Macaca fascicularis: one gene and its partner. The protein of the gene in region 1 interacts with the protein of each later gene in a biochemical or structural test. Links are inferred from orthologs where the notes say so. Each region holds a gene or a part of one and is shown in the gene's direction. Other genes may lie near its edges.

Region 1 (3,746 bases):
AGCATCCCTTAGCTCTCCCAGCTGCACATGATATTCCTTTGCATTTATAGGCTATGCCATTTAATCCCACATTTACTTATTTGTGCCCTTGTGTTGTCTTTTCCACAGTCAGCTGCTGAAAGTTTTCATGTCTTTTCACTCAATATATTTACCTTGCATGACATTGAGCATAGAATTGAAATGATTGTTGATGAATCAGTTGAACCAAGGCATAGTAATAGTAGTGAACACTTATGTAACACGATGCCCAGGCACTGTCTAAATAATTGCCATATGTTATCTCATTAAATCCGCACAGACACCATAAGGGGAGACTTATTTTCCTCCATTTTATTGATGCAGTAACTGGACCATAAAGAGGTCAAGAAACCCGGCCAAAATCACCCAGCTGCTAAGTGATAGAGCCACATTACAAACCCAGGCAGTCTCACTCCAGGATCTGTGCTCTTAACCTCGATACTATGACTTCTTTAAAACCATAAAAGTTTATTTTATTTTATTTATTTTGGAGACAGAGTCTCGCCCTGTCACCCAGACTGGAGTGCAGTGACACAATCTCGGCTCACAGCAACCTCCGCCTCCTGGGTTCTAGCAATTCTAATGCCTTGGCCTCCCAAGTAGCTGGGATTACAGGCATCTACCACCACACCTGGCTAATTTTTGTATTTTTAGTAGAGAGGGGGTTTCACTGTGTTGGCCAGGGTGGTCTTGAACTCCTGGCCTCAAGTAATCCACACACCTCGGCCTCTCAAAGTGCTGAGATTACAGATGTAAGCCACCACTCCCAGACAGTAAATATTTATTAAGCATTTATTCTATGTGAGTCATTGTGCTAAGTGATTCACATGCATTATCTTATTCATTCCTCACAGAAACAGTATGAGGTAGGTACTGTACTATCCCTATTCTGCAGACAAAACAGGCATGGAGAGGTTAAGTGAATTGTCAAATGCCATGCGGACTATGAACCCGCATCTGAGTCCAGAGCTCCAGCTCTTAACCATTATCCTGTATTGCCCATATATCCCTGTTGGTATTAATTGGCTCAGATCCTATCTGCCATTTGACCCCAGTACCGGATTTAGTACTCTCTTTTTTTTTTATTTATGTGTGCGTGCTTGTTTACCAGTGTGTTAAGGAACCACATCCAGAGATAGCATTTGAACCTACTTCATGGACCTCATCCTTAACTACTGCTTTCTTCACTAATAATATTTTTTCTAGTTTTGGGACGTTGCTCCAGTTTAGGTCAATAGGAGCTAGCCAATTTCAGTTTCCTTTAATGCTATTCCATGTGTTTGAGTAAATTATCCACCAATAATAAGGTGATTCCTGCCTGTTAATATGGCAGTTCTCTGTGGACGCATGAATGTGAAATATAGGTAAAAAGCCAAAGCACTGCTTAACGAATGCTGTTTCTAGGGATGGTAGTTTATGAACCTTTCTTTTCTATTTGTTATCAAGAGTTTTCCTTCTGAAAAGGCAGAAGGTTTTACAGCAGCAGGAGAGAGGTTCCATTAAGAAGACGAAAATCACGAAGCTTATTTCTTCTGTCTTTCACTTTCCCCAGAGTCTAAATGGTGTTTGGCTGAACAGAGCACGTCTGGAACCTTTAAGGGTCTATTCCATTCATCAGGGAGACTACATCCAACTTGGAGTGCCTCTGGAAAATAAGGAGAATGCAGAGTATGAATATGAAGTTACTGAAGAAGACTGGGAGACAATATATCCTTGTCTTTCCCCAAAGAATGACCAGATGATAGAAAAAAATAAGGAATTGAGAACTAAAAGGAAATTCAGTTTGGATCAATTAGGAGGTCCTGGAGCTGAAGGCCCCTCAAATTTGAAATCCAAAATAAATAAAGTGTCTTGTGAATCTAGTCAGTCAGTGAAATCACAGGGGAAAGGTGAAGTGGCCAGTACACCCTCTGAAAATTTGGATCCTAAGTTGACTGCCCTTGAGCCAAGTACGAAGACCACAGGGGCTCCCATTTACCCTGGCTTCCCCATAGTCACAGAGGTTCATCATGAGCAGAAAGCCTCAAACTCTTCAGCATCTCAGAGAAGCTTACAGATGTTTAAGGTGACCATGTCCAGGATTCTGAGGCTGAAAATACAGATGCAAGAAAAACATGAAGCCGTTATGAATGTGAAAAAGCAGACCCAAAAGGGGAACTCAAAGAAAATTGTGCGAATGGAGCAGGAACTGCAGGACTTACAGTCCCAGCTGTGTGCAGAGCAGGCGCAGCAGCAGGCAAGAGTGGAGCAACTAGAGAAGACTTTCCAGGAAGAGGAACAGCATCTTCAGGTACCACACAGAAGGGAAGGGCAAGAGTGGTCTTCAGGAGTGGGGCGGGCACTTCATGAGCCTCTGGCCAGAGTTCTCAGTTTCTGGGCCAGGTACCAAATTCTGAGCACCAAAGACAAGAAATGGAATGGGAACAGTAAACTTTTGAGATCAGGGAAGGGAACTGAGTAGAGGGTTAAGGCGTCAGCATGCTGATGAGATCAAGAGCCAGAGATGGGGTGCCAAGATAGGGTAAAGTGACCAGCAGAGCCAGCCAGGACATAACTCATCTCAGGATGCAAAGCTGAGGCAACTCAGAACCAACATGAATTCAGGGGGAAGTTAGGTGAAGGTCAAGATGCCGCAAAACCACAGTATAGTCCAATTAAATCATTAGTTGTCTTCAAGACTTACGTATCTTTGCTCTGTGGCCAAGGCCAAATCACTTAGTCCCAGGGCAGGTACAGGTCAGCTGGTTCCTCTGCCCTTGTACCTGACAGTTTGTTAGCTATAAAGGTTAGTTAACTCTGTAGCTAACCCAGGAGGTGAGAGGCTAAAAAGGCAGAAAATGTTTTTGTTTCTGTTTTGAGCAGCCAGCATGTGATGGGACAGATGCACCATGACTGCATTGTTGGGTTGAATGATAAACCACCTTCCACAGTGCTTATAGTAGGAAGGTAAAATAATGACTATCTTAGCTTTGTAAAGGTAAGACCAAATGTGTTTCCATCCCTGAGTCATTTGCTTCAATGACAAACTCTTGCACAAAGCTTTAGGCTAGAGCAGATCCTGTCCTTGCTCAAAATGTCATTTCCTATCTGGCAGGAACCACACATTTTACTCCCACCCAGTTGCTCAGATAATATTGAATGTCAAGAATTCCCTATTGTTGACTTAGAACTCACACGGACCAGTCACAACTAAAGTGAATAAACTTTTTTGTTTGGGTTGGTCAGGGTAAGGAACAACCAGAGGTAGTGTTGGCTTATTTCTGAGCAATTTATAAATTTCATTCTAATCTCTGCCATCCCCTTGAACTGGTAGTATTAGCAAAAGCCATGGATTAAATAGGTCTTTTGAGAGTATACACTGCTTCCTTACATGTACCTTTTTGCTTCCCTTATCCAGCCTAGACTAGTTCTTGAAATTAGTAGAGGGTGGTTTATGTCTACGTGTTTAGTATATCACACCTTCACTAGGACAGAACTCTCTGTAAAGGCTAATATGTTCACGAACAAGTTACTGTTGATTAATATTTGTGGCTGCTCTGGACATGCCTCAAGGTATAGCTGCAAAATCTTTTTTTTGAACCAAAATGTTAAAGGCAAAAGGATCAGTTTGGATAATTTCTCTGGGTATGAGTAGGTCGTGTACATATTGCTCATAGTGAAGTGTATCTAGTCCCTTGTTTATCAGCTGCATCTCCCTCTGCCCACCAAGCCCTAGGGATTTATCCTAC
Region 2 (4,350 bases), about 13 Mb from region 1:
TGCATTCCTGACAGTCTTGAAAGTTATCAGTGCTGGTGAACACTCACTAAACCACCAGAAACGTTGACTGCCTCATGTCGGAAACTACTTACATTCAGAGAATGAGAATTCCATGCTATTTTGTTACTGGTCAACAGCCAGTTTCCTTATCCTTCGTTTTCTAAGTCCAAGTCACATTCCCACCCTGACTGTTCTCAAACTGTCTTATTTTGGTTGGCTTTAGTTTCACTTTGTATACTCTAAAATGTAGTTTCTTAAAGAAGATATTTCCTCGAAACTTAATTTTTAAACACCATTAGGCTAGGGGGGCCGTGGCTCACGCCTGTAATCCCAGCATTTTGGGAGGGCAAGATGGGAGGATCACTTGAGGCCAGGAGTTCAAGACAACCCTAGCTAAAATGGTGAAAACCCCGTCTCGAATAAAAATACAAAAATTGGCTAGGCGTGGTAGCAGACGCCTGTAATCCCAGGTACAAAGGAGGCTGAGGCATGAGAACCTGGTGAAGCCGCGGGGTGGAGGTTGCAGTGAGCCGATATCGCGCGGCGGCATTCCAGCTTGGGTGACAGAGCGAAACTCTGTCTCAAACCAATCCAAACCAAAACCAAAAGGTACCCGAAACACAAGCAAGTTACCATCCTTTCTTGTGAAACAATGGACGGTTCTGAAAAATGCCGTAGCAAGTTTAAGGTACGTTTTCTGGCTTGAGTGGGCTTTACTTGCTTTTGGCCTTATCGTGGTTCTCGGTTATTTTTGCAACAGGACGGCCTGAATATTGGCCAGGACGCCTCCCTGAGTAATAGTGACTTTGCCCAGCAGCTTGTTGAGCTGCTCGTCGTTGCGGAAGGCCAGCTGCAAGTGGCGGGGGATGCTATGGGTCTTGTCACGTATGGCGCTGCGTGTCAGCTCCAGGATATCGGCGGCCAGGTATTCTAAGTACAGCGGCGCGCCGGCTTCGACAGGCTCAGAATAATTGCCCTTTCGAAAAAGACGATGGACCCTGCGCTACTAGAAACTGCAAGGCTGGTACCGATGAACAACTTTGTGCTTTACTTCCGTTTTCCATGTCCAAACACAGCGACCTCTGAAAACTGTAAAAAACAAGCAAGATGGAATGGCGCCTGAAGAAATACTTTTATACAAACTGCAAGGCTGCAATAGAGAGTTATCCTATTGGTCAATTATGTTTCCTGCTTTATCCAATAGAAAAAGAGTCCATAAATTCCATATTTGCATAAACCCCACCCCTCAGTGAAACTGTATTTCTTTTATCCAATCAGAAGTGAGGAATCTTAAACCGTCATTTGAATCTCAGGACTATAAATACGTGGGCTCTGAACTGTTCTCTCTACTACTCTGCTGGAGAGTGTTAGTAGCTTTTTTGTTTTGTTTTAGGAATAGCGATGCCTGAACCCTCTAAGTCTGCTCCTGCCCCTAAAAAGGGCTCTAAGAAGGCCATCACTAAGGCGCAGAAGAAGGATGGTAAGAAGCGTAAGCGCAGCCGAAAGGAGAGCTATTCCATCTATGTGTACAAGGTTCTGAAGCAGGTCCACCCCGACACCGGCATCTCCTCCAAGGCCATGGGGATCATGAACTCCTTTGTCAATGACATCTTCGAGCGCATCGCGGGCGAAGCTTCCCGCCTGGCGCACTACAACAAGCGCTCGACCATCACCTCCAGGGAGATCCAGACGGCTGTGCGCCTGCTGCTGCCCGGGGAACTGGCTAAGCATGCTGTGTCCGAGGGCACCAAGGCTGTTACCAAGTACACTAGCTCCAAGTAAGTGCTTATGTAAGCACCTCCAAACCCAAAGGCTCTTTTCAGAGCCACCTACTTTGTCGCAAAGAGAGCTATAACCACAATTTCTTAAGGTGGTGCTGCCTCTGTTCTGCTTCAGTTCTAGAGGATCAACTAGAATGTTAGCGAAGGCAACTTTTAGAGCCAAGGTTAACTTGGGGCAGCGCGCCGTGGCTGTCGCCTTTAATCCCAGCATTTTGGGAGGCCGAGGCGGGCGGATCACTTGACGTCAGGAGTTCGAGACTAGCCCGGCCAACATGGTCTCTATTAAAAATACAAACGTTAGGAGGGTGCTGGCGCTCTTTCTCATCTGCCTTTAGCAAACTTCTTTGTTCCCCCTGGGTAAGCCTTCGGGTACTAGTTGTAATTCATTTGATATGGTCACTACTCCCTCCCTGGTCTAGCACAGGAAACTTTCCTTTCTGGATAATGAAACAAGTAATGCAATTCAGGGTACAGTGTTTCTATGGGGGTCATTAGCCGTTAACCGCTTGAGATGAGGGGGAGGGGAGCAGAAAAGTCTAAGCGACAAAAGGGCGTGTAGGGATATTTGCTCCTGCAGTTTGCCTATGCTGTAAATTCTTACCTCCAGTAAGAAGGAAAGATTTCCTCCAGTATTGAGGAAACAGTAAGCGAAGTCTGATTTCCCGGGCGCCTTTGTAGGGAATATTTCCCGTTCCACAAAATGAAATCGCAGTAGTTTTGCGTTATAATTGTTTATCAATGACAACAGCTATGTAGTTTACATATTTCATGCATCCCAGAAATCCAGATTCCCATTTCCTAGGCCACTTAAAATTCGGATTTCCAGCTCTGCGAGATACAAAAGGGTTTGAATTTTGTGCCTTTCCCCAACTGGCCCTACTGCAAAGATACTAGGAAGGCCCCACTTGGAGAGGGAAGCATTTTTCAAGAAATCCGGGACGCCAAAAACAATATAGCTAGAAAAAGGCAGGAAGGGTACTAGTTGAGGAGGACTTAATGGGCCAATTCTTGGTCTGGGGCTGGGGGAAGAAATGGAAGAAGAAAAGAACCTGTTGATTGCACACTAAGTAGGAGGGGATGGGGGAATCGGAGGGGAGTATTTTAAGTGAACTTACGGGCATTATATGTAGGTGACATTCAGCAGTGTCTTCGGATGAAGAAATAAAGTTTCTCAAACAGTTATTGTTTCTGTTTTGAGAAATGGTCTTGCTCTGTTGGCCAGGTGCCATCATAGCTCACTGCAGCCTCGACTTCTCCAGCTCAAGCTATCCTCTAACTTCAGCCCCTTGAGTACCTGGGACTACAGAAATGCGCCACCACACCCAGTTAATTTTTTAATTTTTTGTGGAGGCAAAGGGTCTTACTATCTTGCCCAGGCTGGTCAAGTGAACTCCTGGGCTCAAGTGATCCTCCCGCCTTGGCCTCCCAAAGTGCTGAGATCGTAGGAATGAGTCACCGCGCCCGGCCCAGATTTAATTTTTAAGAATATTTTAAAAGAGGTTCTGGGCCGGGTGTGGTGCAGCTCACGCCTGTAATACCAGCACTTTGGGAGGCCAAGGTGGGAGGATCACTTGAGCCTAGGAGCTCAAGACCAGTCTGGGCAACTTAGTGAGTCTGTCTCCACCAAAAATTTAAAAATTAACCAGGCCTGGTGGCACATTTCTGTAGTCCCAACTACTGGGGAGGTTGAAGTGGGAGGATCATTTGAGCCTGGAAGGTGGAGGTTGCAGTAAGCTGTGATGACACCACTGCACTCCAGCCTGGGTGAGGACAGACCCTGTCTCAAAAATAAAAAAAAAATCTGGATGCCACACAAAATGTCAGTGAACAACTGTAAGTGAAGCACTTCCCATCCTAGTACTGTATATGCAAACTACCGTTGTGAAAGAGACGCTTGTGTTTTAAAAAATCTATAATTTTTTTTAAAATTATAAAACGACCACCTCCCCCAAAACATTACTAAGCAATTGAGGCTGCAGTTTAAGAAACTGATATTTAGGATCTTTCCCCGGAGAAGTGAGACCTGCTAATATAAGCATTTGCAAAATGAACTTTTGGGCCAGGTGCATCATGCCTGTAATCTCAGCACTTTGGGAGACTTAGTCAGGCAGACCACTTGAGCTCACAATTCGAGACCAGCCTGGGCAACATGGCGAAATCCAGTCTCTACAAAAAATTAGCTGGGCGTTGTGGCATATGCCTATAGTTCCAGTTACTAGAGAGGCTGAGGTGGGAGGATTACTTGAGCCTGGGAGGTAGAGGTTGCAGCAAGCCAAGATCGCGCCGTGACAACCTGAGTGACAGAATGAGACACACCCCCCCAAAAAAACAGCCTGACTCATTAAAAAAAAAATTTAAAAATATTAAGTTTTGAAGCAGATATTATTTTGTCATATGTTCTTTCATAAATTTTTTGCCTGCCTGCTTTCTTCCTTTGTTACAGAACTCCAACACTTATCCAAAGGTAGCTGTAGGGTCAGGGTTTCTGTATTATAGTCCCTTCTGTGGTGGCCAGAAATATGTTACAGGAAAGAGGTCCCCATCCAGACCCCAAGAGAGGGTTCTTGGA

The links. The genes of interacting proteins can lie anywhere in the genome.
Region 2: of the proteins of RNF8 (region 1) and histone H2B type 1-B, one has a biochemical effect on the other in vitro, tested with the Homo sapiens proteins (2 studies listed by BioGRID). The link is inferred for Macaca fascicularis from reciprocal best matches to the Homo sapiens genes RNF8 and H2BC3.

The regions. Positions count from the first base shown.
Region 1 is NC_088378.1:134,283,823-134,287,568, reverse strand, and holds part of RNF8 (E3 ubiquitin-protein ligase RNF8), read left to right. Parts: intron 1-1,570; coding exon 1,571-2,308; intron 2,309-3,746. UniProt on the Homo sapiens protein: E3 ubiquitin-protein ligase that plays a key role in DNA damage signaling via 2 distinct roles: by mediating the 'Lys-63'-linked ubiquitination of histones H2A and H2AX and promoting the recruitment of DNA repair proteins at double-strand breaks (DSBs) sites, and by catalyzing 'Lys-48'-linked ubiquitination to remove target proteins from DNA damage sites.
Region 2 is NC_088378.1:146,884,759-146,889,108, forward strand, and holds the start of histone H2B type 1-B, read left to right. Parts: upstream 1-1,348; 5' UTR 1,349-1,401; coding exon 1,402-1,778; intron 1,779-4,350. UniProt on the Homo sapiens protein: Core component of nucleosome. Nucleosomes wrap and compact DNA into chromatin, limiting DNA accessibility to the cellular machineries which require DNA as a template.